Arabidopsis thaliana: one gene and its partners. The protein of the gene in region 2 purifies or fractionates together with the protein of the main gene of each other region. This does not show direct contact. Each region holds a gene or a part of one and is shown on either strand. Other genes may lie near its edges. The genes, in order: AT5G11870, GRXS17, BSK2 and GAPC2.

Region 1 (6,686 bases), on a different chromosome or scaffold from region 2:
AGGAGTTTGGGCTGTGGTGCTGTGTTGGTTAGTGGAAATGAGCTCAGGCTTGCTCTTCTTGCTGGTTTCGATCCCACAAAGTACGATTCTTTATCCCCAATAATAAAGTTTGAATATTTTTTTATTTGGTCTCATGTTGATGTGTAGTTTTTGACCATGTCTTCGGTGTGGATGAAATGAATAGGTGTATTTTCAATGGAAATGGAAAGTCTTTGGAAGATTTAGTTCTAGCTGCTCAAGAAGGTGTTTTCGTAAATGTTGATAGTGAGTTTGACTTGAATAACATTGTGGAAGCTTCAAGAATTTCTGGTAAGCAGGTCAATGTGTTGTTGCGTATCAATCCTGATGTTGATCCTCAGGTATGGTTAAATTTTCAATCTTTTAGCAGCATGTCCTAGAATCTATTCTTTAGCTTGGATATGAATGAGCTTTTTCTGTTTGTTACCATTTTAGGTGCATCCATATGTAGCTACTGGGAACAAGAACTCGAAGTTTGGTATTAGGAACGAGAAGCTTCAATGGTTTCTGGATGAAGTGAAGGCACATCCCAAAGAGCTGAAGCTTGTTGGAGCTCATTGTCATCTTGGTTCTACCATTACAAAGGTAACTCCGACTATAGTTCCTTTTAATTTGTGTTTTAATGTAATCAATCTCTTAAATTTTAACTCTTGAGTCTTGAGCTTTGCATATTCACGTATGTTCTGTTTATTTCAGGTGGATATATTCAGAGATGCTGCGGTTCTCATGATTGAATACATTGATGAAATCCGGCGTCAAGGCTTTGAGGTTAGCTACTTGAACATTGGTGGTGGTTTAGGGATAGATTATTATCATGCCGGCGCTGTCCTTCCTACACCCATGGATCTTATCAACACCGTAAGAACAACAGCTCAAAACTCTTTTCTTTATCTTGATCTCAAAAGTACTGGAATGGTAGAATCTTTAGAATCCTGGATGTGTTTCATAGGTAAGAGAGCTGGTTCTTTCACGAGACCTGAATCTAATAATCGAGCCAGGGAGATCACTGATTGCAAACACATGTTGTTTCGTCAACCATGTAACTGGTGTGAAGACGAATGGAACTAAAAACTTCATAGTGATTGATGGAAGTATGGCTGAGCTTATCCGTCCCAGTCTTTATGATGCCTATCAGGTAAAACAAATATACTTTTCACAACAGCATCTGCAGATTCTAGTCCCTTTGAACTATAGCTAAACATCCTCTTGTTTTTGTTTTTTAACGCAAAAGCATATTGAGTTGGTCTCTCCTACACCGCCTGAAGCAGAGGTTACCAAATTCGATGTAGTGGGTCCTGTTTGTGAATCTGCTGATTTCTTGGGCAAAGACAGAGAGCTTCCCACTCCTCCACAGGTATTATAAGGATCTGATTATGTTTGGCAGCTCAAGTAATATGGAATCTAATTAGTTTCTTGTATACGTTACAGGGAGCTGGTCTGGTGGTTCATGACGCTGGTGCATACTGTATGAGTATGGCTTCCACTTACAATCTCAAGATGCGTCCCCCGGAATACTGGGTAACAATACTGTTTCTTATTATCGTTTTCTGCGGAAATTTAGCGGAGGGTCAAGATCCTGAGAGAAAGTGATTGATTTATATTCTTCTTTTTGCAGGTTGAAGAAGATGGGTCGATCACTAAGATCAGGCATGCTGAGACATTCGATGACCATTTACGTTTCTTTGAAGGACTATGAACTCCGAGATTTACTCATCATTGTTGCTATTTTAGATGAATTGTATGATTACGTTTCTATAATGCTATTGCTGTCTTGGATTTTTCCACATTCTGTGCTATGATTTAAAGTCCTCAATAAAGTGATCATATGAATAAGAAACAGGTCACAAGTCAAGACCGAAAATAAAAGGTGTATTTGTGAGTTATGATTATTCTTTTGGTTTCTTTTTAGTTACTACATGTAAAATTGTCCATTGTCCAAACACATATATAAGACTTGAATAAGTAACCTTAAAGCCAAAGCTGTTTCAGAACCAGAAACCAAGATTACACCAAGCTAACGATGTTTTAGTGGGATCATGGGTCAAAATCTATCTAGCAACCAAACAAAATTTGTAATACAAGAATCCAGAAGCATCTAAATACAAGAGAAAAAAAACTTGAGGAGTCAGTAATGAATGTCAAGGACGGCCTTTGAGATCACCTAATCTGTTTTAGTTTCCATCATACAAAAGAAAAGTGAAAAATCCTCTCAGGTTTCAAGGAACTCAAAGATCAAAGAGAAAGAGTCAGTGAAAAAACGTTACCTATTAAACCGAATGCTTCTATACAAAAGCATAATGGTAAGTAAAAGCGTAGCCACGGCAGAACACAAATGCTCCAGTGAATGCCCACTGATGATATATCGATTTGCATTGTATATTTTGTTGTCTGCAAGTCCTTCAATCTTGGCAATAGTGTACGCCGCTGCATTCATGATAAGCAGATATCAGAAGACCGTGGATTCTAATAAGAAAACCGCAAATGTGGTTTTGAGTTAAAAACCTGTTGCCCAGAGCCAGAATCTAGAGTGTGTATATTTGGGAGGTAACAAAACCGCCATGACGGGAATCACCAGACACGGTATCAACTGGAACGTCATGCATAACCGGAGATCATTAAACACTCTGCCATCAACTAAGACACATATAATTTCAATCCGAAACCTGACTAAAACCATGAACATATATGTATACAGAGGAGGTAATGCTTTCTTGGTTTTAATGTTACCTGGCGTAAGCAACACTGAGACATGATATAAATAGAAGCAAGATGAGGCAACTAAGTCCCACTTTCTCCCCCGCTCTCTCAACCAAAAAACTAGAGAAAAGCGACGAATACGCAATCAATATCTGCAATTTACCGTCATTAATCAACAAACAGCTATTCATAAACCAACCATCAAAAATGATGAGCAAAAACAACTTTCCATTCAATAAAACCAAAAACCACAACTCTACACCCGAAAAATCTCTAAAGCTTCTTTCCATTAGCTATAAGAGTTGTGTTCACTTCACTATGTGCTTGTAGAACCAACCAATCCAAGAAAAACCATGAAGTCTAATCTAAGCTTTTTTACATAGCTATAAGATGATTCTTCAACTTTTTGTATTCACAATGTGCTTGTCAATATATACAATTACCGCATCACTAATCAAGAAGCAATGAATGCATAACTGAAAGAAGATTCATGTTCCGAAGAAAAGTAAAGTGAGAAAAACGAACAGGCAAAGTGTCCCAGACGATTCTGTTGTCATCAGGTTTGAGATGATAAAAAGCAGAACCAAAAGCCAAGCTTGCAATGCCTGCGTAGAACAGTGTCCATCCCCAGATCTCACCATTTAAACTGCATTACAACAACTCAAATTGTTAAACTAACTCAAAATAAAACTCAAAAAAGGGAAAGAGAATGATACCTTATGTTGAAGAAGCTTCCTCCAATGCAAAGAACAAAACCAAGAACTCCAACGATAAGAAAGGGAAAGTTGGTCATCACATTCAATGTATTAGGCACTCCTGTTCATCATCAAACCCACACAAAACACCTGTCTCTCGTTATTACACATGCACAGAGACAGAGAGAGATAAAAAAAAAAGAAGAGAGAGTGTGATATGATGATGATACCCATGAAATTGCGTTTATCGGCGAAGATATGATGGCGAAATGAATCGAGAGGAACTTTGGGAGTGATGAACATGATGATTGACCAACAGAGGAACGATCCCACAACCAAAATTCGTTTCCTTTTCCATCTCCCTATCTGTTGATTCGTCAACCACACCATTAAAAGTTCTCTCTATAAAGGTGAAGACTTTAAAGGTTTGTATTGTTTGAAGTGGATAAATCAGTTATCTCTGTTGTGTCTGATTGATTAATCTTCTTCCAGTTTAAGAAAGAAAAGGGAAGACAGATTTATTGAGAGTCGCTTTTTTCGATTAGAACAACGTGCGGCGGAATCTCTTTTTTTCTTTTTCCTTGAGTCTGACGGGTACGACGACGACGATCGATCTCTAATGTTGTCGTAGTTGACGAGGACCGCTCTAAACGTCTACGTTTTGTTTCTATTCTATTTTATTTGTAAAGTAACCCCTTACATTTTTATATCTTATATATATCCCACCCCATGTTTCTGAAAGTAATATTTTCACTCCTATATATATGTACAACGTTTCAAAACTTGGCGGGAGTGGTTTTAGTTAACTGTTTCCTGGTTAGTGTTTCTAGGAGAAGGAAAAGTTAACTAAGAAAATTGCTAAATTATATATCCTTGATGTGTTGTTGTAGTTCTTAGAAGTAACCCACATAGATAGCCATGTATGAAACAAAAACAAAAATGGGATTAACATGAGACAAAGTTCAAAAGAGAATGAACTAAGAGTCTAAATGCTCTTTATGCTACAAAGTATTCAAGAAAACGAAAGAGTATAAGAGAAAGATGGGGAAGAAGATGAAACAATCATATGTATTCTCAAATTACAAACATATATTCTAAAGCTCAAATTGGGAACGTAAATATATCAATGTTGTTTTAAGCCATCATGTCCTCTCTGAATCATCCATTGTGCCATGCTTGAATACAAGTTTGATGTTGTTCATTTCTTTGAATAATATTGGCAGGTTGAGTGTTTTTCAGTTTGTGTTGGATCAAATTGTCTTTTATTTGGATTTCGTCGTAAACATAATCAGCAGAACACGTCATTCATGTCATACCTCTTAATCTTTTATGTGTTTGGTAATAAATCTGCATAATCATGACATGAAACAACATTCCACAATTCTATATAGCATTCTAGCTATAACCAATGAAAAATAGATCATCCTATATATAGTAGTACTAAACAAAGATTATTCTAAACCAACTTAACTTGTAACATCAAATCTAATCAAGTCACATAATCTTGTATAATTTCATTTTTCAAAGAAAATATTCAAAAGTCTTCAAAACGTTTTTTTTATTCCAATAATCCATAACATGCATGTTCAATTTGTAAAAAACAGAAGGTTCCTTTTTAAGAAAAAGACACTTCTCTAGTTCTCTACGGCATCGTTGTACTATCCTCCAACCGGAGATGACGTCATCATTTACCGGCCTAATACTCTTCGAATGTTTGGGGTTTAGTTTAACAAATCAAAAACTATCGAGGTTACTAATGAAATATTAATAAAGTATGAGGGCATTTAAATGAAATATTTCATTGCTTATGTAGACTATAGTCGTCTGTCATTCATTTCGAGCAAATATTTTACTCTTTTATTTCGAAGAGAGAGAGAGAAGAAGACGGAAGCTAGAAGAAATCGTTTTTGATCGGAGGTACTTTTTTCCGACGAATATACTCTCTCTAGGGTTTTCTTTTTTCTCTCTCTCCCTCTCCGTTTCTTCTTCTTAGCTCTTCAATCTCAGCTCGAATTTCTGGGCTACTGAAGTTTAATCTAGGTGTGCGCTTCGTTGAAGAAATTTTGAAATTTGCAGAGAAATTTGCGGAGAAAGCGGAAAGATTAGATTTATCCATCGTTTATCCCAGTAAAAAGCTTTGATTTTTCCACATGTCTTTTTTCCCCCCTTTTTTCGTATTAAAAGCCCTAGATATATATATCAAAATTGAAAATTATCTGAAATCGATTTCGTGGGTTTCAGTTCCGGTTCGGTTCTCTTTCTTAAAATATTGATTTCTGTCACTTTCCGCGATGAAAAGTTTTCGAATTTTGCTTCTTTTGGCTCCAAAGTTTTTATCTTTCAAATATTTTAAATCTGGGTACTTTTTTGTTTTGGTTCCTTCTTTGTGAATTGTATCTAGGGCTTTGCTCCTTTTCTAATCCAAGATCTGTTTTCGTTCTCAGATAGTGTATGAGCTAGTTGTTTGTAATTTGACGGCTCTCGGGAACTGATCTATCTCCGGTGTCTCTGCTTTGTCGGTAGCTACAGGAGTGAAGAGAGTTTCTACAAGGTAAATTTGAAAACTTTATCATTGAACCTTGTACTTGTAGATTTATAGTAGTGTTTGGGTATGAATGTGAATAATGGTCAGATATTGAAATTGTGGAGTAGTTGCATTAGGCTCTGAGTTCTGTTGTCTAATTCAGTTACAAGTTGATGTTAATAGGGTTTTAATGGAAGATGATGACTCTCCTTCTTCTCGGGATTTGGATGCACAGAACCCTTATGATCGATTGCTTGCTCTAGATACAAGTACCGTAGATCCAAATTGTAACTTGGATTCGGTTTCTGCCATTTATCTAGCGATGAAGAGCTCTAAGCTGGAATGTGTTGACGAGCGTGGTCAAGATTCCCTTATTACTTCGGTATGCATGGAGGATGAAGAGGATGAGGAGCTCGATGAGTTTGATCCTTATCTGTTTATCAAGAACTTGCCGAACCTGTCTTCTGTTGTCCCAACTTTCAGGCCGGTCTTGCTTCCTAAACAAACCCGAAGCTGTCCTCCTATTTCTCTTGTCCTAGACCTTGATGGTAAGGCTACTTTTCAGTTGATTCGTTTGTTTAAAATTGTATCTCTCTTTGCAGGTTTTAATGGCACACAAATCTTAGTTTTTTCTCACCAGGTTTTAAGGCTACTATAACATATATGTTTTATTTTGCAGAAACTCTTGTGCACTCGACTCTAGAGCCGTGTGGTGAGGTAGATTTCACATTCCCAGTGAATTTTAATGAAGA
Region 2 (7,186 bases):
ATAGGATATCTATCAGCAAGAAAAGATTGATAAACTATTATCCGCTACGAAATTAGATTTAAAAGGTAATAAAACCAAGAAGCGCTCAAAGATTTTACAAATAGAACTACAGGGCTTAGGTGTTTACCTGTACTGAAAGACAAAGCAGTAACAGCACCTCGCGAGGCATGTTCAAATGTTACGATCTCTTCGTCCAATTTTATGTTATGTACATGGATCTTTCCATCAGCACAACCAATTGCAACAACATCCAGGGCAGGGGATGAAACACAACTGGTGACAGATGAACCCCAACCCTTAAACTGATAGAGCATCTTCTTAGTATTAATATTCCATAGCTGCAGCGGACCCTCTTGGCTCCCTACAAGAACCTACCAATGTGGTTCCAAGTAAGAGAAACATGCAAAGAGTTAGAAAGGCTTGTCAACAGAAGACACCAGGGGAAAAAAAACTGAAATCCTGAACCAAGTATGACTCACCTTGTTGAGATAGGTATCTGGGTGAACAATAGAGGTAGGGGTAAACTTTCCAGTAAGCTGAAGATTTCCAATTGGAGCTAGATGTTCTTCGATTCCTTTGAATGCCCATATGAACATATTTCCTTCCACGTCAAGACTAAGCACATGTTCTCCAAACACCAGTAGAAGATCAACTTTAGCAACATGTTTGCTCCAAGTTGCTACCTATAGATATACCCACAAGAATTCCAACTATAAACAAAGTACTCATAGATATAAAAAAAGCAGCAACTTAACTATAGTTACAATGAGATATACCTGATGAGCACGCCTAAAGACAGCGATTTCATTGCCAAACGCAACAAATGTGTAGTCTCGGTAAGAAGCTAAAGCTCTAATTTTCTTTGGAAGCTGAGGACCTTTAAGATAACACAAATTAGATTATAAGAAAATTTACACTGCATAGACAAAACCCAATTCTAAATGCATGAATTTGAGTAAGAGAATGATTGAAAGGACAAAACTTTAGGTTTCAGAAGAAGGAAAAACTTACTGATTATGACTAGATTGAGCTTGGCACACTGCAACAAGAGAACCAAATTAACAACAGAATCGAATGAATAAAGAACACGCAAGTGAAACTATGAAGATTGGGAGCGTTACATTATAAATCTGGAAAGCTTTGCCGACGCTGACGGTGACGAAAGTCTCGGTACCCAATCGCTGGACGGAGAACGGAACCGTACTCGTTATGTAACCTATTGCTCTAAACGGTTCGAAAATTCCCATCTTTCGAGTTCGAACAAGAAATTAGGGTTTCCTCGGAAAAACGATTTTAGGATTATCAAATCAAAGAAAGGTTTTTTAAGAGCTTGAGAGAGAAAACGCGGCGCAGGAGCGATGGAGGAGATACAGCAAACAAGACCTTTGGGGTTTAGGGTTTAACGAAATTTCTTTGTCCGAATTTTAATTTTATTTTCCGGTTTAAGTGTCCGCTCGGTTTATACAGGTTCTTTATTTGGTTTGGAGAATGTTAAATTTGGTTTGGTAAAATTATGGTTCGGTTTTGGCTAAAAGTCATTGAAATGTAAAACCAAAACCATTTTAGTTTAATATTTAACTAATTGTCAATATCAGTATCAATTTTAAAATTATGATGACTTTTGGTTTAAATCTTGTTTAAATGTACAAAGTCTCGGTTAATGCTCGATTGCAGTTTGGTCTAAACTCTAAACAAATGATTTCCATTCGGTTTGATTCTAAGAAATTTGAGTTTAATCACACAAAATCCCAGCCGTCGGATCTTAAGAAACTCTGTAACATAGAAAGATTGGTGTTAATCCTAGCCGTCGGATCAAGCTTTCTTTGTTTAAACCACTCTTTGTTTTGTTACTCAGTCTAAAAGCAAATGTGGTCAAGATAACCATAAATAAAGATTATGTTGATACAAAGAGAGAAAAATAGTTATGAATCTAATAGACTCAGCAATAGAAATAACAAGACAAAGCTTGAGAAGCAACAATATCAATGTTTGTAACACCTAAAACATATTATTACCATAACTGAAATGTTCTCTCTCACCAAGGCAAACCAGCAGACAGAGACTTGTATATATTACTTACTCGGATAGAGTTGCTTTGAGATCACCACTCTCACTTAGCTCCATAATGATATCACATCCTCCAATTAACTCACCTTTGTAGTATAGCTGAGGAAAAGTTGGCCAGTTTGAGAAATTCTTAATCCCTTGCCTTACTTCTTCATCAGTCAAGATATCAAACGATCCGAAACTCACGTTTTCTCCTCTCAATGCTTTCACAACTTTGGAGCTAAATCCGCATTTCGGTTCATCTGGTGAACCTTTCATGAATAGCATTACTTCCGAGGAATTGATCAGTGCCTTCAATCTATCTTCAAGACTCTGTTCTCCAGTGATCCCTTTCTCGGTCAAGACCTTTTTCAGCTCACCGCTCTTTTGCATCTCCAAGACAATGTCTGATCCACCCATAAGCTCGCCTTTCACGTAAAGCTGAGGATAGCTTGACCAGTTTGAATACACTTTAAGGCCTTGGCGAACTTCGTCATCTAAGAGGATATCGAAACTCCCAAACTCGATTTTTTCTTGGTTGAGGATTTCAACCACTTTCCCACTGAACCCACACTTTGGTTCTTCTGGTCTTCCTTTCATGAACAGCATAACTGGTTTGGAATTGACCAGACCTTCGAGCCGAGCTCGGAGGGTCTCACTTAAGCCTGTGTTTCCTGAACTAACCCCTCCTCCTTTTCCAGCTTCATCCTGACTTTCTTTTGAACCAACTGTCGTGATCCCAAGATCTTTGAAAGCATCTTTTAGTTCACCGCTCTCGTGCATCGCTATTGCGATATCAGCTCCACCAAGAAGCTCTCCGTTGCAGTACAGCTGAGGAAACGTTGGCCAGTTAGAGAATTTCTTCAAACCCTCTCGCACTTCGTTATCCGATAGTATGTCAAAACTTCCAAAATCAACGTTAACCTCTTTCAAAATGTCAACTACTTTCCTGCTAAACCCACACCTAGGCTCTTCAGGAATACCTTTCATGAATAACATGACAGGGTGAGAATTAGTGAGCTTTTCCAAACGGCTCTTGAGAGCATCGGCGGTAGATACAGGCTGAGCTCGGTCTTGTAAAGAAGCTTTCGCATTCTCCTTCACAGTTTCAAGAATCGTTGGCCCAGCAGCCAACCCTAAGCTTGCAGGAGCAGCAGGCTCCGCAGAAGTACTAGAACCAGCAACTTTGCCAACCTTATTAGCTAAACTTGATGGATCTGCACCCTCAAGTGTATCCACAGTTTTACCATCCTTCAATAAGAAAACGAATTCACAGTCAGAAGAAAGTAACAACTTTCAGAACAATCATTACAGTGCAGTGACAAAGATTCAAGCTTTGAACACACTCTCAATCCTATAAAGACAGAAAATTGCAACCAACCAATTAAAACAAAGAATCAATAAGTCTGGAGCTAAATGGATAGGCGAACCATCTTCTTCTACTACCTGATTAGATAAACAGCTTTCAGTAATCTAACAGAGACGCAAACTAATCAAAACAAAAACCCTAAATCCTAAACTTTCGATCAAAACATAGGGACAAAGATTCAAACTTTTGAACACACTCTCAATGCTATAAAGACAGAAAATTGCAACCAAACAAAGCAACATAAAGAATCAATAAGTATGACTTCATCAATGTCTTCTTCTTCTACCAAATTAGACAAACAACTTTAAGCAAAAACAAAAACCCTAAATCCTAAGTTTTGATCAAATCATAGGGAACAAAAAAAACGTAACTTTACCTTGAAGAAGACGAAATAAGGCACAGCAGCAACAGAGTAAGCCTCAGATATCTCAGGATGTTCCTCAGCTTCAACCTAAGAAGATAAAACCAATAACAGTCAAAAACCTCATTGAAAGTGATAAAATTTTGAATTGGTCAAGAGAACAGAGACGAACCCTAAAGAAGTGAGCACGAGGGAAATCAGTAGCGAGATGAGAGAAAACTTGATCCATCTGCTTCGAAGCATCACACCAAGAAGCCCAGAAGTGAAGCACGACTGGTGCGCCGCTCTGGCGCAAGTTATCAAGCTCCGCCTTTGAAACGATATCCTTCACCGTACCGCTCATCTTCGAAGAGGGAGAAGGATCTCTTAACACTTTTTTTTTGTGTTGTGATTTACCAATTTATTATCGAGCAGAATACACTCTGTTGCTGGAGAAAGAAAGGAGATTTATGTAAATATAACAAAATAAAAGGACCTAACGATACAATTAGGGTTTTTGTGTGCCCAATGTGATGCTAAAATTGCTCACTTATGTAATTTCTTTTTATAAAAATAGTAAAATTATATATGTCAGCGGAAGGAAAAAAAAATTGGAAATTAAGTAAGGTAAAAATGTTAAAATTCTAGGTGATAACAATCTTTAAAAATAAAATAATTTTGAAAAATATTAGATACATTTAAATTAAAACTACTAAAAGTAAGTTTGACTAATAAAATCTTAATCCTATTTTTTTCTTTCTAAAATTAATACTAATTAGAGGAATTGTATATATCAATCCTCATCGAATTGGATTCTCATAAAACAGTCTAAGAATTAGGTTACAATTCTTTTTTTCTCCTTTGTTTTGTATGTGTGGAATTGTTTAATTCTGTTATATTAAAAATCCACAATTATTTTAGCATTTGTATTTTTAGTTATTTTATTATACTATCTTTTTTTTTAAATGATATAATATATAAGCTTACATCATTTAGATAATTGATGCATCTATTAATTTTTGTGTAACATCACTATTTAAAATGATACAAAATTTACATCAATGGAAACTGATACTAGTTAACGACTAATCATCGACTATAAAATGTGATGTAAATGTTTACTTAATTTGTCAAAATCCTACATTTCTCCCACAAAAAAAGAGGTTTCATAGTTTTCTTACATATAGTGACCTTGGTTTTTTGGTGGTGTAAAAAAATATAAAACTTAGTATGCAAAGTTTGCCTTCATATTAATTAATGAAATTACATAATACTTTTTAAAAACAATTAATTGAAAGTCATTTTATTTAATTAACATCGATTATCCTACTATATTATTTGGGAAGTACATTTTAAATGTAACCTTTATTTTTGTAATTAATTACATGATAATGCCATTAGAAAAATTTAATCAAAAACAAAACTCTTTAATGACGTCATTAAGGTTACCAAAACTTTGATAAATATAACGTGGTCTTACCTAGATATTCCTCTGGGTATTCTTGTGATTCAATTATGTTCACGTCTGATCGGCGAAGACGTTTAATAAGGGGTTTGTTCTCGGTGAGAAACCTTTTCCGAACATAAGCATCTACAGATCGGATGTAGAACCCACGTTGAGCCATAGTTTGTTTCATATTGTCAAGAACCGTTTTCAAGCTCAATTTCTTAGGGATGTGAACATATTCTACATCCCACAATTCCTTAAGAAAAAAGAAAAAAAAGTATACTGATCCGAAAACAATTAACAAAAAGCGAACAATATACTACTACATTACCTTCATAGGCTGCAATCCACCTCTATTAGTGACCACGTTGGTGCTTAGATCTTGCATTGGAGGAAATCCTTTTGGATGAGGAGTTTTTGATTTTGATAAAAACTCATCTCTACCACGTTCAACTTCTTTCTCTTCCTGTTTCTTCACACTGCGTCTTCCCTTTCCTCCAGGTTTTCCTCTTCCTCCAACCATTGTTGACAGAATCGGCGCAAAATGAGGGTTCAGACGAAATGATGGAGGTTTGTACGTATTCTACACCCTCGGTGATTTATTATATAAATATCAATTTAAGAGAATAACCTACTCAAATCACTAACTAATCCATGATTATTATATACTCATACTTTGAGTTTGGATTACAAAAAAAATATTCGAGTATGAAAAAACTATTAAAATGGTTTTATTGAAAAATCATGTAATATTAAAATAAATTTAGTAATAGTACATTAAATATGTAAAATAAAATAATATAAAAATAAATAATAAATGTATCATTAACCTATAAATTAGAAGTTGAAGAGCTTACATTAATTATTTAATAGACACATGACAAATATATATGATTTTGACCAACTTTCATATATATGATTTTGATAAACTGATGCAAATACTTAGAACACTTACAAAAAGTGATTTAAAAAGATAACATCTTTTTTTTTAGTTGACTCAAATTAACATTAGTTACAACAAGCAATGCAAATATTATGTATACTTTTAAATTATTTGCATCAACAATATATACATCATTTACTTAAGCGATATAAATTATTTGCATCAACAATATATACATGAGTCCACTAACCTTAAAGCCAACAACAAGATTTAGAGAGTCTTAAACTTACAATTGGCAAAAAAGACTCACTCATTACATCAACCATCTTGCAACATGAGAGCAACTCTTAATCGCATATTTACATTTGTTTAAATGGTGCAGATCAAGATCTTTTAAATCCCTTTTTAAGTTAAGTAGTTGCAAGTTGCAGAGACCCGCAAGCATCAGAAGCATGCTTGCCTTCTCCAAAAACCAAGTTCCCTCTCACAAATGTCGAAACCACTTTGCCTGATAATCTTCTTCCCAAATAAGCTGAGATACTCTATTGTACACCACAAGAAGCAAACATAACATAAAGATTACACATTCGTGTTATTCGAGCTTAACCATTAGCTATCTTTCTAGAAAAAACTGTGTACTTACAGGGTGTTTGAAGTGAATTGGATGATCTTCATCTACATCAAATTCGGCTTCAGGTTCCCACACAACAAGATCTGCGTGTTTTCCAACCGTAACCGCTCCCTATAATTAAACCATTACTTATAAGCTGCGATAAATGGACCCCGAATCCTAATAAAAACACGTCTATATTATGCCAGTGTGCTGTGTATGGACAAAAAAGAGAATACTGAAGCTGCGTTTTTTTTTATAATAACGAACCTTAGAGTGTAGTCCAGCGAGTTTGGAAGGCCTATCACTCCACCAAGAAGTTACCTGCTCGAGCGTTACTCCATACTTTTTTCCATAAGACCATGTGATAGGAAGAACAAACTGCAATTGGCTCTTCCATGAGTTTTTTTGTGCTCTCACAGTTTCTACATATTACATTTTTAAGACTAAACGAACCTGTAAAGAAGATATCCCACCCCAAGCTTTCAAGA
Region 3 (7,647 bases), on a different chromosome or scaffold from region 2:
CTTAGTTTGTACGAAAGAGCGGTGGCTACGGGTTGGAAACCTGATGCTATAGCGTTCTCTGTGTTGGGGAAAATGTTTGGTGAAGCTGGAGATTATGATGGGATTAGGTATGTTTTGCAAGAGATGAAATCTATGGATGTGAAGCCTAATGTTGTTGTGTATAATACTTTGTTGGAAGCTATGGGGAGAGCAGGGAAACCGGGTTTGGCGAGGAGTTTGTTTAATGAGATGCTTGAGGCAGGTTTAACTCCAAATGAGAAAACTTTGACAGCTCTTGTAAAGATTTATGGAAAAGCGAGGTGGGCGAGAGATGCTCTTCAGTTGTGGGAGGAAATGAAGGCAAAGAAGTGGCCGATGGATTTCATTTTGTACAATACGTTGTTGAATATGTGTGCTGATATTGGATTGGAGGAAGAAGCAGAGAGGCTGTTTAATGATATGAAGGAGTCTGTGCAATGTAGACCTGATAATTTTAGTTACACAGCAATGCTGAATATATATGGGAGTGGTGGAAAAGCCGAAAAGGCGATGGAGTTGTTTGAAGAGATGTTGAAAGCTGGGGTTCAGGTTAATGTAATGGGATGCACTTGTTTAGTACAATGCTTAGGGAAAGCTAAAAGGATTGATGATGTGGTTTATGTGTTTGATCTCTCGATTAAAAGGGGAGTTAAGCCTGACGATAGGCTCTGTGGGTGTCTGCTTTCAGTTATGGCCTTGTGTGAGAGTAGTGAAGATGCTGAAAAGGTTATGGCTTGTTTGGAGCGAGCTAATAAGAAGTTGGTGACATTTGTGAATCTGATTGTAGATGAGAAAACCGAATATGAGACTGTAAAAGAAGAGTTCAAGTTAGTGATCAATGCAACCCAAGTAGAGGCAAGAAGGCCCTTCTGCAACTGTTTGATAGATATATGCAGAGGCAACAACCGGCATGAGAGAGCTCATGAGCTTCTCTACTTAGGAACACTTTTTGGTCTATACCCGGGACTACACAACAAGACCATAAAAGAATGGAGCCTAGATGTGAGGTCATTATCAGTTGGTGCAGCTGAGACCGCTCTCGAAGAGTGGATGAGAACACTTGCCAACATCATTAAACGCCAAGAGGAACTTCCTGAGCTGTTTTTGGCGCAAACTGGGACAGGAACTCACAGATTCTCACAGGGATTAGCAAACTCTTTCGCCTTGCATTTGCAACAACTCTCTGCACCATTTAGACAGAGCGATAGGCCAGGTATCTTTGTGGCTACAAAGGAGGATTTGGTGTCATGGTTGGAATCAAAGTTTCCACCTTTAGTTACTTCTCAAGCATGAAGTATCATCATCTGTTATCCTAAACTAAAAAGCAACATTATTTTTCCCAGTAAAGTTGTTTATAATTGTAATAGCATATTGAATTTTCCATCTTTTTGTATTACCATAAGGAAGAAGGAATCAAATTAGTTATTTGCAGTCTTATTCTCTCTTTCCCCAAAAGATTTGACTTTTCATAAAGATTCATGCAAAAAAAGAAGCTCTCATTTCACAAAAGTAAACAACACATTCCATCTCTCTCTTACATGCATACACACCTTTCAGTTACAGTCTGAAAAGACCCATAAATATTTGGGACTTCCTCTAATAGCTTAGCAGCGCCAGCTATTCTGTCGCTTAGCATCATATGCAGCGCCATCGTTGAGCATATCTTGAGCATCAGTCTCCATTCCGAGCTTTGAGAGCGCTAAAGCCTGCAAGTAAAAAGCTGTTGGCCATTCTGGTATGCACACCTGTGCCTGCATTGCATCTCTCAGTGCAAGCTCCTGTTGGTCTGTCATTAAGTAGGAGAAAGCCCGTCTAGCGAAAACTGTTGCAGAAGGAACCGGCATCATCCCCACCAACTGGAAACCATAGATACAGAGGTTAGAAATTCTTTTCGAACACCGAGAATTATGGATTTGTTGCTATTTCCTCTCACCTTGGAGTAGTATTCAATTGAGTTCTTGAAATCCTTGTCTCTGAAAGCAATGTCCCCGAACTTTTTTGTGTTAAGCATCTCCTGCACTTGTTGTGTCCATTCTTGAAATGAAAGCTCATTTTCTGCACCTTCTTCATCTCTGTAACCGGTTTTAAGCAAAATGTCGTGAAATGTCGCAAGGTCCATCTTTGCACAGGCCTTTCCAAGAGGAGAAAGCATAGTTGGTAATATTACTGTGTTCTTTGGTAAGCCCATTAAGACATGAGAAGCAACCTAAGCAACAAAATCAAATCCAGGATAAACAAATTTGGATATGAAATTCATGATATGGTCGGTTTCAGGAGGGATTCTTTTAAACCTCTTCTTGCTTTTGTAGTGGTGCTACTGCAGAGAGAAGAAATTTGGTATCTGGTCGATCCTTTGCCTCTGATTGAAGGCATTTTGAAGCAAGATCAACTAATTTAGTCGCATCATCATTCGCATATTGCCCTTCAAGAGATGAATCCATAAGAAGCAAAGCATTTTTCCCTCTTATGATATCAAGGGCCTGATATGAAACATCACCACCAATTCAGATAAGAAGACCACAAATAAAATCCTCGGCAATTGACAAAAAAGTAAGATAAAATGAAGGAAATTAGAACATTGGAAGCACATACATGGCTAGGTGGAATGTGTTTGCCGCTTAAAAGATCTAAAAGAATAGTTCCATAACTGAATATCACACTTTCAGGAATGACTCTACCTGCAAAAGAAAAACCAGAGAACTTTAATCTTCAATAATGAATTGGTTTGTCTTCGACTACGATTCACAAGATCAAGAATTTTACCTGTCCGTAAAAACTCAGGTGGAGTATAAGCTAAGTTTGTGCTATAGCTTTTGCCATCTCTACTGTTCTTCATAAGACCAAAAGTAGATAGACGAGGATCACCTTCCTCGTCGAAGAGGATTCTGTATGCATTGAGGTCATGATAGATTTTTCGGTTCTCAATATTGCAGTAATCAAGTGCTTCTGCAATATAGTCTGCGATTCGAACACGCATATCCCATGGAAGTGGCTGCTTTTCCCCTGCAAACAATGCAAACAAACACAGAAAGAAGAGAGTAAATCATCTAAAGAAGACTTTAAACCAAGCTTATAACGAGAGAAAGATAAGACTATTACAGTGGAAGAGATGCTTTGAGAGAGTATCATTGGGCATATACTCTGCCACCAACAACCTCTCATCTCCTTCAGCACAGCAACCGATCAAACTAACTATTCTCTTGTTTCTAAGCTTCCCAACACCAGTCGCTTCCACCTGATTTCACAAGTCAAACAAGGTCAACACCAGGACAAAGCTCCTATTTAAAAGCAGTCAAGATATACAGTCAAGACATTAGTCGTATCCTAAGATTTAAAAGCAGCTTTAAACCCGAAGTTATCGACTTTTCTACAATTCAGTGGTAACCAAACTCAGGGACGCTTATTCTTTTATCGAAAAATGATGCCTTGTTCTTCTTCTGTAACTAAAAACTACACCTAAATCACCATTCCTTGGACTAGTCATTGATGCGGTTTGCCTAAGAGATAGTCCAACAGAATCACCCAGGGTCTAAAATCAGACAATGAATCAATGAACAACAAATCATGCATTGACCTTTTCTCAGATATCTTACCACAAACTGTTGAGCATCAGGCCAAGATTGCCTAGAGAATCGCTTGATAGCTACAAGATGATTCCCTTCAAGCTTCCCTCTGTAAACGACATTAGGAGCTTTCTCTCCACCTTCAGAGACAATGCAGCTAGGACTAAACCCATTGGTAGCTTTCCTCAACTCATTTAGTTCAAATTCTTTGAAATTTTGGATTTCCTGATCCACTTGGTCCCCATTTACTGTAACCACATAACAAAACATACCCCGAAAAGGCAAATCAATCTAAACAAGAGTTTAATTCCAAAAAGGAAGAGACTTTATAACTTTTTCTCTGCTTTAAGCCTTTCACAAACCCTAACCCCACAAATTAAAGCAAACCCATAACAAGAACAGACGAAAAACTGCAGATTTACTAAGTGAGCAAACAAAATGTGAGTTTTTTAGAATCTAAGAGATTAGTATTATTACCTGATTCTGGTTTGTTTGGAGCTGATGGATCATCAGAAGAAGGAAGATTAGCAGTTTTGGAATGTAAACAACCCATTTGTCTCACATCCAATCAAAATATTGTTCTCCACAAAGATCAGAAATTTGGATAAGAAACAGAGATTTTTGTTGTGTCTAGTGTTCTTGGATTGAGGTAATAAAACAATGGTGGGATTTGATTTGGGGCTTGGATTTGTGCTTTGTGAGAGAAGCTGAGGAGGCAGTAGAATATAAAAATTTAATAAAATTTGAAAACTTAAAGACAAAAAGAAGTAGCTAGAGAGAGAGTGAAAGATCTGAAAAATATAGCTTCAAAAAGCTGCAGACTTGAAAAAATAGAGGTAAGAAAAAAACAATAGAGTCATGTGAAGCAAAAGATCTTTAAATTTTTCTGCTCTAGATTTTGCTTGCAAATACTTTTTTTCCTCGGTACTATACACGAAATTTTAAATTTGGGTTTCAGTTTTTAGCTGTGAAATGTAGAAGTTTTTACTACATTAGAAGAGAGACTTTCATATGAATTATCCAAAAGTATAAGTTTTGTATCCAGGTAAAGATAGATATTTTTTCTTTAATTTTGCAACTTTCTCTTAATGTTTATATCTTAGATTAACTTAAATAAAAAGATGATAATTTTTTTTTTGGCCTTAAGAAATTATTTAGGTATATCTTAGATTCTAAAGTCAATAATAATAGTGTTAAGATTTGGTAATAATTTACAAGATGACAGTTTATTTTGCAAAGTTAATAAGAAGGAGTGTTAATACAATAAAATATCAATTAAGAAAAAAAATAGTTAAAAAATATATTAAAACAGATATAATTATTTACAGTTCAATAAACATGTTAAATAGCTTACATCAATTTTGTGTTTACTATTGTCTAATCTTATCTCAAACACTCGTTGGTGACATAATTGAAGGTACAAATTTGTACCCTGCTATTAAAAACTAAAAATCAAAGTCAACAACACAATAACAATAATAGTGAAAATAATTGCTACATGATCTGCTCTCTTATTCGCCTTTTACTATGTAAAAAAAGTATTTACACTCGATTGAGCATTATTGATATATGAGATAAAATGTCAAGACGATTAGGTTTGTGTCATTCATTCTTGTTAAATTTTTTATTTTTGAAATATTGCGTTTTTTGCTTATTAACTTTTGACGACTTCTAGCCTATGACAATTTGTTTTAAAAAATTGTTGGACAAAGAAAATAGGTCACATCACATGACAAGTCTATCATGGGGCACGTGCCTCGACCTTCTTGGGTCCTGAATTTTACCGAAGATAGAAAGTAACTATTCCTCTTTCCATCAATTTTATTAAAAATTAAGGGTCTTTTTAAAAAGCTAATTAAAATTTAGAAGTCTACCACCAACATAATCGGTATTTATTTTAGTATAAGTACAAAATGAATAAGTACCGTTATTACATGATTCTTTTCACACAAAAAGTCTTCGGTTTATTATATATCAACCCCTTCACCGACAAAGTTAATAACGAATAGAGATTTCGAGATTTTAATACTACACAGATCCTTAAATGATAGTACTTGGACCGAATCATCCACTAATCATATGAGAATTTCTACAAAAGAAAGGGGGATAAAGCAAACAATTTTCGATATTATTATTCTGGATTTTCTATTCCAAATATCACAGCTACACAAAAATCCTTTTTTTAATATAACTATTTTAGTTGATGCAATGCAAATACATGAACTAATTTTTTGCTAAAAGAAAAAACTAATTTATTTTCATACAAAAGGAAAATAGTTGTACAATTTCTTTTTTGTATATTCTATATATTTCAACTTGGCCCCTTATTTTCATTGAAATTAAAATTTTAATTCCTTCACACTTTTTTAATTCTTTTATCTTAATTATAATCCTGTTTCTCAAAAAGTTCATAGTAGCGTTGTGGTTCAATATGTATTTTCTGAAAAAAGAAAAACAAAGGTCACTACTAACGTACGTTTTATCTAAACCACGAAAACAAAACAATTAAGAAGAGATGCAATTCAACACTCTCACTAATGTAGGCCTTGTTGGTGCTGCCAAGATCTAAAATGTAAGGTCTCACCTGCTTCCCCAATAGAAGAGACAAGTATATACACAATGATATTAGTATTAACCTAAACTCCTTATTCTCATTAGATGCATGGTCAAGAAAATTACTATTCTCTAGAGAACTACACAACAGAATTTACCGGTACTGAATAAGATCTGCAAGAAGCGTGTTCAGTAGAAATGTCGGCGATCTTTTATTTCTCACGTCCAAAGAAATATCAGCTTTGGTAATGAAGACATTGTGGGATTATCTTTGAACATCAATACATCATAATAGAAAAAGTATCAGATCAATGAACATAAGAGAGTTATACTCATTAGGAATGGAAAACTAAGACTCACCATTGTGTGAAAACATAAATTTGGCTCATTGAAGAGGCGTGGGATACCTGAAAAAGGTTTACCAAATCAGCCTCTGTTTCACACATCCATGAAGATCATTGTAGCAAAAGTTTACATGACAAAGCGTTGCTAACAACAAAAATGCCCATACTAAAACATTACTTCTGTCTCTGTTGTGTTTGGATTGTCGAAAAAATTAAGGTCTCAGATTTTTTTTAAAAGAATTTTTATGGTAAATTATGAATTTTTTTGGTTTCATGCAATATTTGTCCCAACATATTTACTCCACCGTGTTAATTTACAGCTATTTTTGGGATAGGGGCTTTGAGGAAATGGTAATGCAGTTATATGGTCTCCTGGTGAAGTTGCTCACTGACATAATTTTGCCAAACCACATTACTCCAGCTAGTGAGCGACCTTTGTGCGTGAAACCACGTATAGAAAATGTTGTTCGATGCGGAATGTATCTTGTAAAAGATCTTTTTTTATGATCTCTTGAAAGAGAGATTACTACCAAAATCATATTAACTTACTAGAGATTATATCTCTTTGGTTTAGTGTTTACAAGATATTTTTTTATGATCTCTTGAAAGAGAGATTACTACCAAAATCATATAATCTTACGAGAGATTATATCTCTTTGGTTTAGTGTTTTAATATATAGATGATTTCTATTAAACAAAATATTATTTTGGAGAACAAAAAATACATGATGCCCTATCTTACGCTCCACAAGAGTCCAATGTTCGTTCAATTCAAAGACCCAAAAATCCTTCATCTTGTTCAAAAGAAATTACCGATCTAAATCGTATTCACTAATAAAAGTTTTCAGATATGCAAGAGTGTCACATGATGAAAGACCTAATGAACAGAGTTGGACATGTTCGTGTGACTGACGTGCAGGTGTCACTTAATGCGTGAGGATTCATATAAATTGACGTTGTTTAAAATGATCTCTCTATGTAACTTGTGGTTGAAGATTCTTTTTTAGATGATCTCTTGAAATAGACTACTACCAAAATCATGTAAAAACTGTTTCCCGTATAGATGTGTTCAAGTTTATATCAATTGTATGCTAAGCCCCGATCCAATTGTTAACATAGATCTCATGAGATTAGGATTTTTAAATGAATTAAAAGCAAAAAAATAAGGT
Region 4 (7,640 bases), on a different chromosome or scaffold from region 2:
ATGGAAAACAAAATCGACATGATTGTTGAGGAGAAACTTCAAGGCTCTGGTTTGAAATTGTAGAGTTCATATCTCTATGTATATGTGTGGGAACAGGTTTAATCTCAAACCTAATAATGCTGGTTTGTTCTTTTCTTGTATGCAATGTAATAAAAGTTACTTTGATGTAAGGTTAAGAGTTTAAGATTCTTAGTGATGTGTTGTTGTTTTTGTTTCGTTTGATAATGAATAAAGCTAGCGGCTTTTCTTCTTCGCCAAGGCATACAACAATCATTTTTCTTTTTTTTTAATAATTGAAAAGTTGGAGTCCAATTGACCTTAATTTCATAAAACATGCCATGTGCGCCGGTTTAATAGCAGTTGACATAATGAGACTTTTAGTTGAACGGAAAAGCCACAAAACTAACTCAATTATCATAAAAACCAAAACAATGGTTTCGGTATAAAGAACCTTATAAAAAGACCCCATGCATGTTCGTTGGTGAAGTGTCCATGTTTACGATATATACAATGGACTAGATTCCTATATACTAGTATTTTTTAATTTCTTAGTGACATGATTGGTTAATATTTGTTAGAAAAAAGTCGAAGATTATAACATTATTTTGTTCTATGTATATAAGGTCAATAATGGAGCGTAATTTTATATTAGTAAAATGCTGCATTTAAGTTTAGCACTTTAAAATCAACTAAAATGTTCACTTAACAAAACAAGAACCAAAAAAAATGGATGAGAAAGATATTCTAAGGAACTTGAGGGAAGAAGAAGAAGAAGAAGAAGAAAATCAAAGCGAAGAAACCAAAATTTTGATCTCTTCACTTCCTTGGGAGATAGATTACCTTGGGAACAAGCTTTTCAAGTACCAAGGATATTGGTACTACGAAGACGTTCTCCAATCAATCCCCAATATACACTCGAGTTTTCAGCCACAAGAAACCGATATAGTTGTTGCTTCTTTCTACAAATCGGGCACGACTTGGCTCAAAGCACTCACATTTGCACTCGTTCAACGATCAAAACACTCGTTAGAAGATCATCATCATCCTCTGCTATCTCATAACCCTCATGAGATAGTACCGTACCTCGAGCTAGATCTGTATCTCAACAGCTCAAAACCGGACTTGACCAAGTTCTTATCATCATCATCATCATCATCATCTCCGAGATTGTTCTCAACTCATATGTCCTTGGACGCGCTTAAACTACCCTTGAAGAAGTCTCCTTGCAAGGTAGTGTACGTGTGCAGGAACGTGAAAGACGTGTTGGTGTCACTTTGGTGTTTCCTCAATGCCAACAAGGGAGTAGAATGGGGAGATTTTAGCCAAAATGAAAAGATCATTCGAGCGGAGAATTATTCTTTCAAGGCTATATTTGAGTCATTCTGCAACGGAGTTACCCTACACGGTCCCTTTTGGGACCATGCACAGAGCTATTGGCGAGGCAGCTTGGAAGATCCTAAGCATTTTCTTTTCATGAGGTACGAGGAGTTGAAAGCGGAGCCTCGTACTCAGGTCAAGAGACTTGCAGAGTTCTTGGATTGTCCATTCACTAAGGAAGAGGAAGATAGCGGAACTGTAGACAAGATCTTGGAACTTTGCTCTCTAAGTAATTTAAGCAGTTTGGAGATCAACAAAACTGGATCCTTGGGTGGAGTAGATTACAAGACTTATTTCCGTAAAGGACAAGTTGGTGACTGGAAGAGTTATATGACCTCTGAAATGGTAAATAAAATCGATATGATCGTCGAGGAGAAACTCAAAGGTTCCGGTTTGAAATTCTAGAATTATGCGTGTGCTTTGTGAAGAACTGCAGAAAAAGTGTTCTTGAATGCGTTATTTAATAATAAAAGTTACATTGTCATATATATAACTTTGATGTATCATTACAACTGATGTGTGGTTTTTGTTCTCTTTGATGTTGCAATAAAAACCTTCTTTACTTCTATGTTCCTTTAATAACTAGCGTGTGATCTCATGAGTACCATTTCAATAGTGGCATGTTACTCTTCATTTACGACTAATAAAGTAATAAAATAATCGTATTATCACATGCAATAACATGTCACTATTGAAAATACGAGTTTCCTATTAACTTTAAAAGTTAGCATGCAAATAAAATTATAATATCAATCATTTTACAATGATGTCAACCAAAAAATTGGATCTTCGCAATTGCAAGGAAATACTAAATTCCAATTTTTGATCCTCCGTTTCAACAAACTTGGCTGATTCGTTAAAAAACAATGTGGCGATGCTTATCAACCAATAAATCCGTCTCAGTAACTTTTGCTTTCAATCGAAGATGATTGACCTAATGTGAGCTATATGACTAGGAAGAACCATTTTGGTGGAGAAGCTCAAGTACAAATAGACTATTAAAAATACGAGAAGAGGACGTTCAATGTTCCAGTTGCCAGTTGGGTTTGAGTTAGCACGAGAAAGTAATGAACTAAAAACTTAATTAACATAAAAAACCAAACCAATGGTTTCAGTAAATAAAGCAGGGAAACATTAAGAGAAAGCAAAAAGACAAAAGCTACAAACTCTCATGACTGCGCATGGAATCAGTGAAAAAACATAACAACTCGAGTTTTCTTTTCTCCTTTTTTTTATTCAGAACAGTACGAACTCAACCACACACAAACTCTCGCCGGTGTAAGCTTAGGCCTTTGACATGTGAACGATAAGGTCAACGACACGAGAACTGTAACCCCATTCGTTGTCGTACCATGACACCAACTTCACAAACTTGTCGCTCAATGCAATCCCAGCCTTGGCATCGAAAATGCTTGACCTATAAACACAAACCCAATATTTCAATTATTTGCTCTCGCCATTTATAAGATCAGAAAACTGTATATCACTCTACAGACAATATTTTTTATACCTGTTGTCACCAACAAAGTCGGTAGACACAACATCATCCTCAGTGTATCCCAAAATTCCCTTCATTTTGCCTTCAGATTCCTCCCTGAAAAGTTTTAACCAAAATCTTTTGTAAGTACCCAATAAATTCTAATATGATATGGTTAGGACTGAGGGTCCTTGATGGTTCTCACTTGATGGCCTTCTTGATTTCGTCGTATGTTGCAGCTTTCTCAAGTCTAACGGTGAGATCAACAACTGAGACATCAACGGTTGGAACACGGAAAGACATTCCGGTCAATTTTCCATTGAGGGATGGCAACACTTTCCCAACAGCCTATCAACAACCATGATACAAAAATCAGATTCAACATAATTTCTCAATCAAAATCAATTAAAACAAATAAGAGGCTGAAATGATACCTTGGCGGCACCAGTGCTGCTAGGAATAATGTTGAAGGAAGCAGCTCTTCCACCTCTCCAGTCCTTCATTGATGGACCATCAACTGTCTTCTGAGTAGCTGATCACCAAAACAACAGTTACTATTGAGTCAAATATACATATTTTCAAGAATCAACCCAATGAAACCAAATATAAATACGTACCAGTGATAGAGTGGACAGTGGTCATGAGTCCCTCAACAATGCCAAACCTGTCATTAATAACCTGCACAAATAGATTGCAACTGTAAGAGAAATGATTCAACTTAAAATTCAGAATTCAGAACAATTTACACAAGTTTATGGGTTGAAACAGAAAAAGATACCTTGGCAAGAGGAGCAAGGCAGTTAGTGGTGCAACTAGCGTTGGAAACAATGTCAAGGTCAGACTTGTACTCGTGCTCGTTGACACCAACAACGAACATGGGCGCATCTTTGCTTGGGGCAGAGATGACAACCTTTTTAGCACCACCCTGAATAACAATGAAACAATATGATGATGATATAGATCTTAAATAAACAAGTTCTCGACTATTATATAAAAGATCCAAGTTCAAACCTTCAAGTGAGCAGCAGCCTTGTCTTTGTCAGTGAAGACACCAGTAGACTCAACAACAAAGTCAGCTCCAGCCTCACCCCATGGGATGTCCTCAGGGTTCCTTCAAAAATAAAACACCACAAATCAGAATTTCACAACTCTCAATAACATAACAGAGAACCACTATAATAAAATCATCCATGATTATGTACCTGATGCCGAAAACAGTGACTGGCTTCTCACCGAAGAGAAGAGTTTTGTCATCCTTCACCTTAAGCTCATGGTGCTTCCACTGACCGTGAACACTGTCATACTTAAACATGTATGTCTGCAACAAATCGATACCATATACACAATCAGTCAAAACGAATTTACAGAGAATCAACATAGAAGAAGAATACAACAAAGCAAGTTCTCAGATCTATATGATAAACAGCACACACCATCATGTATATTAACAAAAATTCAGATAAAACTATTAACTCAAATCCAGATACGAACTAGTATCGAAGAGAAGAAGAAACGAACCATGTACTCGGTGGTGATGAAAGGATCGTTAACAGCGACGAGCTCAACATCATCCCTCTGAAGAACAACTCTAGCAACCAAACGACCGATTCTTCCGAAACCTTCACGAAGATTCAAAACTCAGCTTCTACAGATCCAAATCACTTAAACCTAACCAAAAAACTTATGGAATTCGATAAGAAAAACACTCACCGTTGATTCCGATTCTGATCTTCTTGTCAGCTACACAAACCAAAATTACGATCAGATTCAAAAAGTATCAACGAAAGAACAATAAATCGAAGAATCGCAGATCAACAAGAGCGAGAAGCTTACCCATTTTGCGAAATTGAGATCGAGAGAGATTTAGATGATATCGAGAGAGAAGAGAATGTGAAAATAGTGAGTGAGGGTTTGGGTTTGGTGAGGATTTAGGGTTATTTAAAAGAGAAGAAGAACGTGATGATGAAAATTGAAAATATGATCGAGTGGCTGAGATTTTTTCTTGGGAAAAAGGCTAATAGATTAGATTCACTAATTAATATTACTATATTGTACTTTACTTTCTTTCTTATTTACCATTTTTACCCATCGTTTATGGGTAGGATTAAGAACTGATTTGGGGAAACTAATGGCGCTTGGATTCACGCGCAGGCTGATGGAATATTCGAGGTTTAATACTCTAATCCTATGGGCTGGGCCGGTGCACGCAAGACTGCAACGTAGCAGATTTTGTATATATTCCTTTTGACAGCCAATGAGCTTTGCCAATAGCCAAATTTGTTTTTCTTTTTATTTAATTTTCATAAGATTTTGTATTATTGTTGTTGTCAAACCATAATTTTCCTTAATAAATCCAAAGTAACTGCAATAGTATGCTCATTTTTTAATTTTGCGTAACAAGTAACACCACTGTCTTCTATACATGTATCTTGTGATACCATTCATGGTAAATTCAATTATTATCGGATCAACTTTATCATCCAGTTCATTATAGTGAAAGTTACTCTCAAATGTCAATTCTCACTCAACATTCAGCAACATTACTCCAACCATTGTTTTAGAATAATCAAGGTGAAGATTTGACTTCATAAACACTATATTTAAAGGTGTTTTGTTTTAATCAATTTAGATGTGTAGATGCTTGTAGACGTCTTTATCGAATTACTGGTTGCTTACTGTTTCAAATATTTATAATTTGACACAAGTACATATGGTGTTGTATATTTATCTAATCGTGACTCTATACCAAGACACAATAGATGCTCCACTTTGAGAGCTTTGGTAGGTCAGATGGAATGTGACAGCAAAAAAAAACATCACACCTTATGTAATAGACTAATAGGTATGACTCTTGGCTTTTGCCAAAAGTCTTCTTCTTCTCCTCCTCTTATTTGCTCTCTTTTCTTTTTCCATTTCATTTTTGTTAGGTGAATGGTTATAAAACTCCTTCTTTTGGTATTCATATGGATCTTTATACATCCAATAAATAGCTAAAATATTATCTGAGGTCAACAATATATCATAAATTGAAGTTTGTGATCTTTCTATAACTCATGATCATTTCCAAGAGTCCACTTATAAGTTATAACTGACCCGTCAAGTGTCAGCCATTCTCTTCGACTGAATAAGTTCTATGATTTAAAAACGATTTTCTAATTCGTTTTTCTTTGTAAAATCAATTTACTTTGGTTTGTACTTTGTAGTAAAAAACCAAATTTATTTTTGCTGAAAACCATATTTGAGAATTTTATAACATAACGTACATGTATTTTTTTCATTATCTGAATTATTTGTAGTGATTTTGTGGAATTTTCATATGTTATTTCTGATCTTATCCCTTTTATTTTGAAGTGTCATTATTCACAATGTTCTAAAGTAATCGTGAAGTGAAAAGAACCACAATATATCATTATCAAAGTATATGTTAAAATTCGATTCTAAGAGAAAGAAAAAAAAAGATAGAAAGAAAGATGCAATAATTGATGCAAACCTTCTCGACAAAAACAATTATTGACGCAAAACTTTAACTATTGGAATCTTATCCTGATGATCTGCTTATAACCAATGTTATTCCACTTACGTGATATTTAAGATCTAGAAGTTGGTTTATTTATGCATAAACATTTCAATTAACTCAGTTTCATTTGTATGTTTGTGATGTTTATGCTGTCTTGATTCTGTCTTCCTCCTTTTCACGCTGTCTCAAAGGAGAAAAGTAATAAGGAGATCACGAGGGAGATTCAAGCTATAATGAGACAAGTTGCTTCCAGCATAACTTGCTTGCCTTGTCTCCATGAAACATGTAAGAGAGAGAGACATTAATCGGCTTGGCGGTTGGATAAGGTGTGTTTGTTGTGTTGGGAGCATTTACTGATACCGATGTGGCTGTACCGTTCACCTGGATCAAGAGAGTGGTTGAATTACATTCTTTGATACTAGTGTTTGTTAATCAAATCATTATAGTGTTTTCTCAGTAGTATAAGTTCAGAAAGTTTCTCTGGCTTTGCAGATTGACAAGGTCGAACACACTCATTTCATACAAGAACAATAAAAGGGATGAAGAATGACTCTGATACCACACACAAACACTCGCTCGTCTGATTGTGAACAATTTATTCACTTCTCTTATGTTCTGTTCTTACAAATGTAACAGACCAAAAATCTATTTTGAGGTCTTCTTGGTCTGTACGGTAAATGCCAGTTATGATATTTCATATTTGAGCAAGTACATGAAAAAAAGAAGAAATGTATAAAGAGAATGAGATCATATCTACAGGGGACTGTTTTCTGATCAGATAACTGTTGATAGAATTGGAGAAGAAGTTTTGTGATCTCATTTCCTCATCTCACACCTCGATACACAGCACCAGGTTGAAGATCATCCATGTTTTCTATGTTCCTAAAACCATCAACTTGCAGGCTTGACCATCCCTGTCGAGCCAGAAACTCGCGGTAGTCTTCTTCAGTGTAGAAGATTTTCTCTTCTGAATGGACTGGTAATTGGTTGGATTCATCATAATGGCAAACCCTAATGGCCAGTCCTGCAAGATGGGTTTTGCATACTGACAATTCAGTAAAAAACACACACACAGTTCAAAAGATACGAATAGTGGCAAATTTAATCTTACCATCATCCAGACGGAGTAGATAGTTCCCTAAGGGCATGTCTCGGTCAAGACAGCGAATAATCTGATCTTCATCTTCTAACCAAAAAGCCCTTCGAGTTCTTAACCCAAAAGCAGATCTGATTACCTCTTTGATTGCTTCTGCACTACCATCAACACCG

Evidence for each region.
Region 1: the proteins of GRXS17 (region 2) and AT5G11870 purify together in Arabidopsis thaliana (affinity purification with mass spectrometry, with the first as the bait; one study listed by BioGRID). This does not show direct contact.
Region 3: the proteins of GRXS17 (region 2) and BSK2 purify together in Arabidopsis thaliana (affinity purification with mass spectrometry, with the first as the bait; one study listed by BioGRID). This does not show direct contact.
Region 4: the proteins of GRXS17 (region 2) and GAPC2 purify together in Arabidopsis thaliana (affinity purification with mass spectrometry, with the first as the bait; one study listed by BioGRID). This does not show direct contact.

The regions. Positions count from the first base shown.
Region 1 is NC_003076.8:3,822,834-3,829,519, reverse strand, and holds AT5G11870 (Alkaline phytoceramidase (aPHC)), read right to left. Parts: upstream 4,101-6,686; 5' UTR 3,801-4,100; coding exon 3,641-3,800; intron 3,532-3,640; coding exon 3,432-3,531; intron 3,362-3,431; coding exon 3,241-3,361; intron 2,868-3,240; coding exon 2,746-2,867; intron 2,643-2,745; coding exon 2,521-2,642; intron 2,443-2,520; coding exon 2,283-2,442; coding exon of another isoform or gene 2,279-2,282; exon of another isoform or gene 2,185-2,278; coding exon 2,157-2,184; 3' UTR 1,947-2,156; downstream 1-1,946. Other genes in the region: AT5G11880 (Pyridoxal-dependent decarboxylase family protein), read left to right, coding at 1-80, 185-359, 454-603, 715-876, 968-1,153, 1,250-1,372, 1,447-1,536, 1,634-1,714; SSP5 (SCP1-like small phosphatase 5), read left to right, coding at 6,125-6,482, 6,614-6,686.
Region 2 is NC_003075.7:2,515,806-2,522,991, forward strand, and holds GRXS17 (thioredoxin family protein), read right to left. Parts: upstream 4,258-7,186; 5' UTR 4,120-4,257; coding exon 3,949-4,119; intron 3,867-3,948; coding exon 3,792-3,866; intron 3,298-3,791; coding exon 2,077-3,297; 3' UTR 1,791-2,076; downstream 1-1,790. Other genes in the region: AT4G04940 (transducin family protein / WD-40 repeat family protein), read right to left, coding at 128-371, 480-683, 777-877, 1,012-1,039, 1,122-1,247; ALN (allantoinase), read right to left, coding at 6,496-6,627, 6,729-6,827, 6,966-7,076, 7,152-7,186. UniProt on the Arabidopsis thaliana protein: May only reduce GSH-thiol disulfides, but not protein disulfides. Participates probably to the maturation of iron-sulfur proteins and to the regulation of the redox state of the BOLA proteins.
Region 3 is NC_003076.8:18,891,174-18,898,820, reverse strand, and holds BSK2 (BR-signaling kinase 2), read right to left. Parts: upstream 4,444-7,647; 5' UTR 4,135-4,443; coding exon 4,059-4,134; intron 3,830-4,058; coding exon 3,612-3,829; intron 3,254-3,611; coding exon 3,118-3,253; intron 3,022-3,117; coding exon 2,782-3,021; intron 2,697-2,781; coding exon 2,611-2,696; intron 2,499-2,610; coding exon 2,310-2,498; intron 2,225-2,309; coding exon 1,952-2,224; intron 1,875-1,951; coding exon 1,623-1,874; 3' UTR 1,415-1,622; downstream 1-1,414. Other genes in the region: AT5G46580 (pentatricopeptide (PPR) repeat-containing protein), read left to right, coding at 1-1,311. UniProt on the Arabidopsis thaliana protein: Probable serine/threonine kinase that acts as a positive regulator of brassinosteroid (BR) signaling downstream of the receptor kinase BRI1. Mediates signal transduction from BRI1 by functioning as substrate of BRI1.
Region 4 is NC_003070.9:4,605,804-4,613,443, forward strand, and holds GAPC2 (glyceraldehyde-3-phosphate dehydrogenase C2), read right to left. Parts: upstream 5,076-7,640; 5' UTR 4,692-5,075; coding exon 4,688-4,691; intron 4,595-4,687; coding exon 4,565-4,594; intron 4,474-4,564; coding exon 4,373-4,473; intron 4,173-4,372; coding exon 4,057-4,172; intron 3,966-4,056; coding exon 3,866-3,965; intron 3,780-3,865; coding exon 3,633-3,779; intron 3,533-3,632; coding exon 3,472-3,532; intron 3,387-3,471; coding exon 3,289-3,386; intron 3,203-3,288; coding exon 3,060-3,202; intron 2,972-3,059; coding exon 2,888-2,971; intron 2,795-2,887; coding exon 2,662-2,794; 3' UTR 2,274-2,661; downstream 1-2,273. Other genes in the region: ST4B (sulfotransferase 4B), read left to right, coding at 1-63; ST4C (sulfotransferase 4C), read left to right, coding at 727-1,782; GT-1 (Homeodomain-like superfamily protein), read right to left, coding at 7,196-7,395, 7,483-7,640. UniProt on the Arabidopsis thaliana protein: Key enzyme in glycolysis that catalyzes the first step of the pathway by converting D-glyceraldehyde 3-phosphate (G3P) into 3-phospho-D-glyceroyl phosphate. Essential for the maintenance of cellular ATP levels and carbohydrate metabolism. Binds DNA in vitro.